3 linked regions of the Saccharomyces cerevisiae S288C genome follow. The gene in region 3 interacts genetically with the main gene of each other region. Each region holds a gene or a part of one and is shown on either strand. Other genes may lie near its edges. The genes, in order: SDS3, HOS2 and SPT3.

Region 1 (3,635 bases), on a different chromosome or scaffold from region 3:
ATTGTCATACTGACATATCTCATTTTGAGATACAACATGTTCCATGATATGGAAAAACGTATACCAGTGCTACAAACCCTGTTAACAATTAAATTCTTATTACTTCTTGCACAAAGATGCTAACACTTTACAGCTTTGAAAGTAACAGGAAGAAGTGATGCTGTGACAATTAACAGGGTATTTTTTTTTTCACTTCTACTTAAATCGGAGTTACAATTTATGATAAAAAAATCAAGAAAAAAACCTGATTATGCTAAGAAAGTAGAGGCGACGATGACCACCTATGGCCTAACCTAACTATGAACAGATGGTAGGCTCTAAATTGCGTGCCTGAAATCTGCGGATTTGATATGTAGGCGATGTTTTGGGTATTTTCCACCAACTTTATTGGCAAGGGAAGAATTCGATGACCCGAATTCGCCAAACGACAAAAACTGGAGGAGTGACCTATTGTTAACGTTTTTTTTTTTTTTTTAAAGGCATTGTCATCAACAGGACATCTGTATAAGAGGCTAAGACAATTACGCACACAACGCTTTTATTAGTTGTCATAAACTGTGTAGATTAGCAGCAGACACTCCTTTTTTTCTTCATACTATAGCAATGCCACCTCTACCCGTGCTCAACAGACCTCAAATTCATACGTCTGTTACTGAAATAAGTCATGCAATTGATCGTACAATCAAGGAAGAGCTCTTTCCCGTTGCCTACACTACTGAAGAAGAGCAATATTTCAAAACTAACCCTAAACCTGCCTATATCGATGAATTGATTAAGGACGCTAAAGAGTTTATTGATTTGCAGTATTCCCTGAAAAGGAACAAAATAGTTCTTATCACCTCTGGTGGTACTACTGTTCCATTGGAAAACAATACAGTACGTTTTATCGATAATTTTTCTGCAGGTACTCGTGGTGCATCGAGTGCTGAACAGTTCTTAGCGAACGGATATAGTGTTATTTTCTTACATAGGGAATTCTCATTAACTCCGTATAATAGGTCCTTCTCCCATAGCATTAATACTTTATTCTTGGACTACATTGATTCTGAAGGTAAAATCAAACCTGAATTTGCTGAGAATGTTTTGAAGAACAAAAAGCTTTATGACAAGTATATGGAGAAAGAGGAGAAACTACTTTTACTACCATTCACCACGGTCAACCAATACTTATGGTCACTGAAAAGTATAGCCAAGCTATTGAATAATAGTGGTTGCTTGTTTTATTTAGCTGCTGCTGTCAGTGATTTTTTTGTTCCATATTCAAGACTACCTCAGCACAAGATTCAATCAGGAGACAACGGTAAGATGGGAGCAAATAATGACACTGAAGGTACAACTAGGACTACGCCTGATGGTAAACTGATTGTGAATCTTGACCCTGTCCCTAAGTTTTTGAGAAGATTAGTGGAATCATGGGCCACTCAAGCGATGATCGTTTCGTTCAAATTAGAAACTGATGAATCCATGCTGCTTTACAAATGTACACAAGCCCTGGATAGATACAACCATCAACTGGTTATCGGAAACCTTTTACAGACAAGAAACAAACAGGTCATTTTCGTATCCCCTGAAAACAGAAAGGGAGATTGGGTACGTTTGGATGAAAAACACCATAGCATTGAAGAGATGATAATCCCAGAAGTCATCGCACGCCATGACAAATGGGTGGCGCATTCGAAAACTAAGCTAGCTACGAAATAAAACATAGCTCTTGTCTGTAATCAAAAAAATTTGCGTCAAAAAAAAAAATTAGATGTATGTAAACCTTTTTATTGAACTGAAAATTTATCTTTTATCAAATCTTTTTCTTCTATGCCTTAATTATGTTTTCAGGTATCTTTTTTCTCATTATTTAATTTAGCTTATGTATTGATCATTTCGCTTGAGATTTCAGGAAGAAAAAACGCAAACAATTTTTCAGCTAAAATGAACCCTTGGAAAAGCTTTAAGAGAACAAGAGAAACTGTAGAGCTCAGTGTGCATTGTCTTCAAGATTGATGGCTATTCAAAAGGTTAGTAACAAGGACTTGTCCCGCAAGGACAAAAGAAGATTTAATATCGAATCTAAAGTTAATAAGATTTATCAAAATTTTTACTCAGAAAGAGATAATCAATATAAAGATAGACTGACAGCATTGCAAACGGATTTAACTTCTCTGCATCAAGGTGATAATGGCCAATATGCCCGCCAAGTACGAGATTTGGAGGAAGAAAGAGATCTAGAGTTAGTCAGGTTGCGCCTGTTTGAAGAGTACCGTGTTTCTCGTTCCGGTATCGAATTTCAAGAAGATATTGAAAAGGCTAAGGCTGAACACGAGAAACTCATTAAATTATGCAAAGAAAGACTGTATTCGTCTATAGAGCAAAAAATAAAGAAATTACAGGAGGAGAGGTTACTAATGGATGTGGCCAATGTGCACTCCTATGCCATGAATTATAGCAGACCGCAATACCAGAAGAACACGAGAAGTCACACAGTAAGTGGTTGGGATTCTTCGTCCAACGAATATGGAAGAGATACAGCAAACGAAAGTGCTACTGACACGGGAGCTGGAAACGATAGAAGAACGCTAAGGAGAAGGAATGCTTCTAAAGACACGAGAGGTAACAACAACAATCAAGATGAATCTGATTTTCAAACTGGTAATGGTTCTGGAAGTAATGGCCATGGTTCTAGACAAGGGTCGCAATTCCCCCATTTCAACAACCTAACCTACAAGTCAGGCATGAACTCTGACTCAGATTTTCTACAAGGTATAAATGAAGGTACTGATCTATATGCATTTTTGTTTGGCGAAAAGAACCCCAAAGACAATGCTAATGGGAATGAAAAGAAAAAAAACCGTGGTGCTCAACGATATTCCACCAAAACAGCTCCACCTTTACAGTCTTTGAAACCAGATGAGGTCACAGAGGATATTTCCTTGATCAGAGAATTAACAGGTCAGCCTCCGGCTCCTTTCAGACTAAGGTCTGACTAATTTATTTTATGCTGCAAACCTTCCACTTTAACTTTGTATTATATTACATTAGATGGTTATATTTCAATGTGAGCTCTTTTTGTTTTTGCTTTCTTTTCTCGGATACAAGTGGAAAACGAAAAAAAAAAATTGGCTAAAATTTACTGTATACATCAGGCTAACAATCTGTGATTATAGGCACAGTTGTACCAAAGAAGGGCTAGAATATACATCATAATTAGATGCAATTAGCATGGCTATAAGATTGAATCCAAAAGTCAGAAGGTTCTTGCTGGATAAGTGTCGACAAAAACGATATGGTTTCCTCTTTTTAGGATGTATCTTCGCCATACTTTACTGTATGGGGACCTGGCCATTTTTCGCAAAAGATATTGTACATGATCCAAATAATTTGCCTTATTCCTTACAGGATTATTCGACTGACAAAGACGAGCCATTTTTCCGGGGCTGCACTGATACAAAGCTGTACTTGCAAAATCCTGCTTACTCCAAAATGAACGCATCTTTCGTTATGCTAACGAGAAACGAAGAAATAGAAGACGTACTGAAAACTATGAGAAGTATAGAGGGCCATTTCAATAAGTGGTTCAAATATCCGTACGTTTTCTTGAATGATGACCCCTTTACAGATCATTTTAAGGACCAAATTCAAGC
Region 2 (3,759 bases), on a different chromosome or scaffold from region 3:
ATAGCGTCTCAGAAATAACTTATAAGAGAGGTTTATTATTAGAACTATCAATAAAATTAGAGCAATAATTTTAAACGGTTTGATACAAGTTATCTCTTTATTAGACATAATTGTCCAGATGTATTACATGAACTGAGTGACTTGCTCTAATGTTGTAGACACTGATGTCCGGTTTAATTAAGAAAGATTTTGGAAGTTTCACGATATCGATAATGCTGCGGGAGAAGCTTTCAAATTATAAGAAAAGGCTTTTTTTTGTTGTTTTCAGAGTAGTTTGGTGACTTGTCCGTTTCAGAAGTGTCTCGAATACGGAGTGCACCTTCCAAAAATGTTTCTGACGGCATCGAAGAGCCGAACTCTTATACAATACATGTCATTTTTAACAATGATGCAAATAACTTTTAAGGCCTTAACACTCTACATAATATGCTAAAAACATTAAAAAAAAAAAAAGGAAAATAAAAAAAAAAAAAAAAAAAAAAACGGGAGATTAACCGAATAGCAAACTCTTAAACTATGAAAAGGCAATCAATCCACTGTTTTCTTTTTCCATTTCTTCTAGCCTATTTGAACTGTCTGCTTCTGTTTCTTCATTCATTTCTTGAATGATTTTATCCTCTTCTTCTGTCAGGGCACTTATATCTTGTGTCGGTATGCATTCAGCATCCATTCTGACACTTGGTGCTCCTTGCAAGTATCTGATATTTTCTAGACATCGTATTCTAATGTCTTCCAGTAGTTTTTTACTGTTTTTGTTTTCGTATAAGTCATCTAACATAGGATAAAGTGAATAATCCGGCCCGAATGAGTCCCGGAATGGGATATCTTCGGGGATGTCTTCTGGTAGCAAGACATCATTTAAAATTCCTGTCTCGTAGGTCCAAAGCCGTGATACATTTCTAGGTGTATAACCTCCACCGCCCACTACTAGCATTGGTAGACCAAATGATTTGACAAATTTTACGCATTCTCCATGTGCCTTTATATTTAAATTGAAGCATCCTAAGCGATCATGACCTAAGGAATCCGCACCGCATTGTTGGACAATAAGTGTTGGTTTGAAAGTCATTATTAGAGGATCTACAATTGACTTGAAAAGGTTTATATATGAGTCGTCATCTATGCCATCTTCTAGGGGTACATTTAATGCGAAATGTTTTCCTTTGTCGCAACCAATTTCTGTCAGATCACCAGTTCCTGGGAAAAATTCGCCATTATATTTATGAAAAGACAACGTGAAGACCCTATCTGTGGTGTAAAATGCCTCCTGGACACCATCGCCGTGATGTAAGTCGATATCGATATAAAGGATTCTTGGGTGATATCGTAATAAGTTCAAAATAGAAAGCACAATATCATTTACATAGCAAAACCCAGATGGACTATTCTTTTTTGCATGATGAAGACCACCAGACCAATTTATCGCTATGTCCGATTGATTGTTGATTAGTTTCCTGGTGGCGTCAAGGCTCGCACCAGTGTATAGTGTTGTATAATCATATAAATTTTGAAAAATAGGACAGTCGTCTCCAATGTTAAAATTTTCAAGTGTGCCTCTGGGCAGTTTGTTTGCATTTTCTGGTGAAACCTTCGAGAGAAAATTCACGTAGTCTTCCGAGTGAAATTGTAGTAATTCGTCTCTGGTAGCGCTTCTTGTTTCATAAAGGTCCATAATCTTGTGCAATCCATAAGAGGAAACTAGGTGATCCGTTAGCATTAACCGAAACGGCTTCATTGGATGCTTAACACCATAATGGTAATGTGAAACTTTGGAGTTAAAATGATACGATACCCTGGGAGAATAAGCAGAATTAAACTCAAATAATGGTTCGTTCTCCTTTGTTTTCACATCATAACTAAATGTTCCAGACATGTTGCGTGTTGTTATTCACTTGATACCTGATTTTAACGTACTTGAGTAATCTGGCGTCTTTTCTATAACTGTACATTGGCGACACACCTAAAACTGATTAGAATCGTTTCAAGATGCTTTCAGTTCAACATTTAGTAACATAGTAGGAATATCACGTTTAACGATGCCCCAAAGAACATCGAGAATCCTCTATATAGAGTATAAACAGGGCATTCTACATTGGTATAGAGGTGCCTTAGGTATATAGTGGTACCGGTCACATAAATTGACGGGAATATGCGTCTTTAGGCGGCTTTTGGCGTACAGTATTGTTCTTTCTTTCGTGCTTGTGAAACTTGTTATAAACAAAGAAAGAGAAAGATCTCCCCGGCATTCTGGAAGATCGGTAACCGCTGGAGCTATAGGAAAGGGAGATGGATAACAGTAAAGAAAACGGACCATATAAGTTAGCATTGGGGGTTTTCGAAAAAAATAAGAATTGGCATTCAGACTTGAATTCATAAAAGTTGTAAGCAGGCTATGATTAACGATAAACTAGTACATTTTCTGATCCAGAATTATGATGACATCCTAAGAGCACCGCTTTCTGGACAGCTCAAAGATGTGTATTCACTGTACATCAGTGGCGGATACGATGATGAGATGCAGAAGTTGAGAAACGATAAAGACGAGGTCTTACAGTTTGAACAGTTTTGGAATGATCTTCAGGATATTATATTTGCAACGCCGCAGTCCATTCAATTTGACCAGAATCTATTAGTGGCAGATAGGCCAGAAAAAATTGTTTACCTGGACGTTTTTTCCTTGAAAATTCTCTATAACAAGTTCCATGCCTTCTACTATACATTAAAATCGTCCAGTTCTTCATGTGAAGAAAAAGTGTCGAGTTTAACAACAAAACCGGAAGCTGATTCGGAAAAAGACCAACTGCTGGGTAGACTGCTTGGAGTCCTGAACTGGGACGTTAACGTCAGCAACCAGGGGTTACCACGTGAACAACTGAGCAATCGCTTACAAAATTTATTGAGGGAAAAACCATCATCTTTTCAGCTTGCTAAAGAAAGAGCCAAATACACGACCGAGGTCATTGAATACATCCCGATATGTAGTGACTATTCGCATGCATCTCTATTGTCCACCTCGGTGTACATTGTCAATAACAAAATCGTTTCTTTACAATGGTCCAAAATATCCGCATGTCAGGAAAATCACCCAGGATTAATTGAGTGCATTCAATCAAAAATTCACTTTATCCCTAATATCAAACCACAAACTGATATTTCGTTAGGAGATTGTTCCTATTTGGATACCTGTCATAAATTAAATACGTGTCGATACATTCATTACCTGCAATATATTCCGTCATGCTTGCAAGAGCGAGCTGATCGTGAAACTGCGAGTGAAAATAAAAGAATACGGTCAAACGTTTCCATTCCATTTTATACTCTGGGCAATTGCTCCGCACATTGTATCAAAAAGGCTTTACCTGCACAGTGGATCCGTTGCGATGTGCGGAAATTTGATTTTAGGGTTCTTGGAAAGTTTTCGGTAGTTATTGCAGATCCTGCATGGAATATCCATATGAACCTACCATACGGTACTTGCAACGATATTGAACTATTAGGTTTGCCTTTGCACGAACTACAAGATGAAGGTATTATTTTTCTTTGGGTGACGGGTAGAGCTATAGAATTGGGTAAAGAGTCTTTGAATAACTGGGGTTACAACGTGATAAATGAAGTTTCATGGATAAAGACAAACCAACTGGGTAGAACAATTGTTACAGGTCGTACGGGTCATTGGTTAAATCATTCTAAGGAGCATTTATTGGTGGGCTTAAAGGGTAATCCAAAGTGGATCAACAAACATATTGACGTCGATTTGAT
Region 3 (3,673 bases):
TTGAATTGATTTTTTGGCCTTGTTAACTTGAAAGGATAATTGATCTCGGTGGAAGTTAAACCTAGAATACAATTCATTTAATTTCTTTTTCAAGTGCTGCCATTGAAGTTCTATATTTTCTTTCCAAACAGCGTTATTAGGTGTCCGTATTTCATTTTTATTAGTGCTGCCTTTATCAGGAGTATCACCGTTCTGTAGAGAATATGAACTATAATGAAATGGCCTGGTGAAAGATGACGCCCTCAACATTAATTTGTTAATGCTGAATACTAAGGGTAAGTTTCTTGTCGCCCCATAGTATCTCAACATCACGCAATTTTTTAATCACTGAGTTCACCCGTTACAATTTCACAACGAAAAAGACCCCAATGATCAGATAGTCCTCTTTATAACGCGTATCTACGTACATAATCTTTATTTGTATTTTTCAATTCATTTGGCTCACATTTATCATACCAGAAGGAAACCCATGCACCTCCATGATGAAATTATACAAAAATTTACATGATAATTGGTTTAGAACTGAGTCTACCACCTTTAAAGTTGGTCAAAGCCCTATGCCTCATGTCAATTGTTTGTAGTACTCTCCAGGCTTCCTCTATATGCCTTGGTTTGAGCGGGTTTATAACATTTTCAGGTCCATCAAATAATCTTTTCTTTCTATGTAATGTGGATGATGCAAATTCAAAGTTAGTATTATCTTGGCTAGATTGCTGGGATTTGTCCTTTTGAGTCTGTAATACCTGTTCTCTTTGTTTGATTTTCAGAGCTGTTTCCGTCAAAGAACAGACAATCTCAAAAGTTAGAAACCCCAGTATATCAATCACATCATCATGGGGTTTCCCCTCAGTTAATTGCGAAATTCCAGACCAGTCCTTGAACCTTTTATTCTTCCTAAATGTAAAACTTGCCTGTCGACAATCGGACCAATGCACGTACTCCTCTTTAGTCATGTTTCGTGTTCTATCGTCAGCCATTTTCAGCCTTTTCAAAGTGACTATATTAGCTTCTCGTTCATCCTCATCCATATCATCATTGTCGTCATTATTTTCTAAAGGATGTTCATTGAACATAAACTGCAATTCCCATGGCAGCTTAATTTGGGATTTCTTGACCTTCATCATGTTTCCACCATCTTTTTCGTCTTTCTCGCCACCACCTGCTTTTTTCAAATCATCTTCACCACCTGCCCCAGGATTTCCAGTGCCACTCGCTACACCGGCACTAGCATCTTGGTCCTTGGCGTTTTTACGCAAATCCTTCCATGACAGATATGTTCTCAAACGATTGACTTTGGCCTTGTCGTGTCTGATCAAGAAAATGACGTCTTCAGGGAGAATGCTCCTACTTCCCCTAAGATGCGCCGTTTTGTTTGACTGTAAAAGAATTTCTATCACTTGACCCCTCACTATATCTTCTATCAGTGATGTGGTTTCTACGGGTGGGTCGTTAATTTCACCAGAGACAAACATCATCTGTTGAATCTCCACACGATACTTATGCTTGTCCATCATTCCTGCCCTAATCTCTTGAATTTTGGCACGGTACCTTGTATGCACTCTTCCCCGGGTTCAGAGTGTCTTCAACCTTACTTTTTACTTTTCGTTTCCGCCGATCTATATTACATGGTTCGGATTTTCTTCTTTTCTGTGCGCTGCGCTTGAAGCCTCAAGAAAGGGCAGCTTTGAACAAGACGTTCTTGCGATAGAGATGAATGAGAATGCATTGAACGCAATGTATACCTATTTTGGCGGCATAAAAAACTTGTTTTCGAGATTGCAGTTGAATCTGAATGTAGCGAGGAGACGAACAAAAAATTGGAGTTCCTACTGTATTGCAAAGAAACTAAGAGACGCCCGCTAATGCTGCCGGAAATGTACGGTGATCTCTTAAAGTTGATTGACCGATAACGCAAAAATAATGCAGCAAACTGTAGATAACTCTTTTTTATCGTAATATTTCTATTAGTATCCAGATATTTCACTCCAAATCACAGCAGACGTTGGTGTGAACGGCATCAGAGTCCCAGGGGCTGAGATAAGTGAAAAAAATGAAATGCCGCCGGCGTATATATAACAGTTATTGTACCTGATATTATGCCAAGTCACTCACTAATCTCGAGAAAATAATTCTAAGACATGTAACCGAACATCATGTCCTTCGAGAACAAACTGCCAACTCCATTAGAAAACAACGATGCTAAGGGCCATATGGTCTGTACCCTGAACAAGACTACGGATGCCAGAAGAGCAGCAGAGACTTTGTCTATTGCTTTTAGTAACTCGCCAGCGTTTCATTTTATCTGCAAGAAAATCTTAAATATTCCTCTAGCTGAGAAGGTGCCTACAAGGACAATAACCACCGATATCATATCGCCATTCCTGGATTCACCTTATGGTGAGATCTCCGAAGTTAATACTTTCGATGCTGTTGCAGTGTGGAGTCTTCCACCTCACGTTCCGAAGGCAAGGAGTAATGATGCAAAGTTCAACAAGGACTTTATTGACGATTTAAATGCTCGCGTAAAGCAAGTCATTCCAAATGGCATCAATTACTACTATCTTTTCTGTATTGGTAAGAACTTAAATGAGAAAGGAATCAGAGGTTCTGTAAGGACTATTTTTGAAGAGTACAAAAGGAGAGCAGACGAAGAAAATTGCGCCATTGTCCTTGAAGCTATTGCCGAGCATGCTAAATCTGTGTACGAATATTTTGGATTTAGAAATTACATGACGTTCAAATACGGTGAGTGTGAGGTCGACTCTAACGGCAATTGCGATCCGAATGGTGAAGGGTTCACAGCCTATTTAATGATATATCATAAGGACGGTAATAAAGTCTTAAAAGAGTAGTTTTTGAGCTTTTTCTTTCCCCCCTTCAAGTAATTATTTAGAATAAAAAGTAGTGTTTAAAGACGACATTTTGGAGCATGCACTGTATAACCAGGTTCAAAAAAATTTCGCCTGCTATTGTTTTCTTTATTTTGAAGATGTGAGAAAAGTCTCATATCTAGTGAGCTTCAGTCTGTTTTTAGATGTAGTTAGCAATTACTATTTTAGGTATTTCTTTGCGCGGTTACGGTCTCAAGAATTTATATTACCACAAAACCTATGTAAGCTAGATCTTCTTAGCGAAAGTGGTTCAGTGGTTAGAATTCATGCTTCCCAAGCATGGGGCCCGGGTTCGATTCCCGGCTTCCGCATTTTTTGTGCAATTTTTTTTTATACTCTATTTTCAAGTTAAAGTTTTTCAAAGGCGAAGTATGTTTACGCTAAATCAAGATATTTGGATGAGCAATCCACTAATTGCGTACTTCAACAGACACACAAGATCAGGAGCGCTACGCCAAACAAGAAAAGAAAATGCCAAGGGAAACAAGTTTGGTAACAATCATCGGTGAAGATAGTTACAAGAAATTACGGTCCTCAAGATGTCTTCTGGTCGGTGCTGGGGGCATAGGGTCTGAATTGTTAAAGGATATAATCTTGATGGAATTTGGTGAAATACATATTGTCGATTTGGACACCATTGACCTTTCGAACTTAAACAGGCAATTTCTTTTTAGACAAAAAGATATTAAACAACCGAAGTCTACCACAGCCGTAAAAGCAGTACAGCATTTCAATAACTCTAAGTTAGTGCCTTACCAAGGAAATGTTATGGACATTTCTAC

Evidence for each region.
Region 1: mutations in SPT3 (region 3) and SDS3 together harm fitness more than expected from each alone (negative genetic interaction), as found in Saccharomyces cerevisiae (5 studies listed by BioGRID, with this or other methods).
Region 2: mutations in SPT3 (region 3) and HOS2 together harm fitness more than expected from each alone (negative genetic interaction), as found in Saccharomyces cerevisiae (5 studies listed by BioGRID, with this or other methods).

The regions. Positions count from the first base shown.
Region 1 is NC_001141.2:201,622-205,256, reverse strand, and holds SDS3 (Sds3p), read left to right. Parts: upstream 1-1,997; coding exon 1,998-2,981; downstream 2,982-3,635. Other genes in the region: phosphopantothenate--cysteine ligase CAB2, read left to right, coding at 604-1,701; KTR7 (putative mannosyltransferase), read left to right, coding at 3,214-3,635. UniProt on the Saccharomyces cerevisiae protein: Component of the RPD3C(L) histone deacetylase complex (HDAC) responsible for the deacetylation of lysine residues on the N-terminal part of the core histones (H2A, H2B, H3 and H4).
Region 2 is NC_001139.9:139,854-143,612, forward strand, and holds HOS2 (histone deacetylase HOS2), read right to left. Parts: upstream 1,874-3,759; coding exon 515-1,873; downstream 1-514. Other genes in the region: YGL194C-A (uncharacterized protein), read right to left, coding at 1-108; YGL193C (uncharacterized protein), read right to left, coding at 2,063-2,374; IME4 (mRNA (N6-adenosine)-methyltransferase), read left to right, coding at 2,393-3,759.
Region 3 is NC_001136.10:1,256,537-1,260,209, reverse strand, and holds SPT3 (transcriptional regulator SPT3), read right to left. Parts: upstream 1,515-3,673; coding exon 501-1,514; downstream 1-500. Other genes in the region: SHE9 (She9p), read right to left, coding at 1-309; IAT4 (Iat4p), read left to right, coding at 2,154-2,852; E1 ubiquitin-activating protein UBA2, read left to right, coding at 3,363-3,673. UniProt on the Saccharomyces cerevisiae protein: Component of the transcription coactivator SAGA complex. SAGA acts as a general cofactor required for essentially all RNA polymerase II transcription. At the promoters, SAGA is required for transcription pre-initiation complex (PIC) recruitment.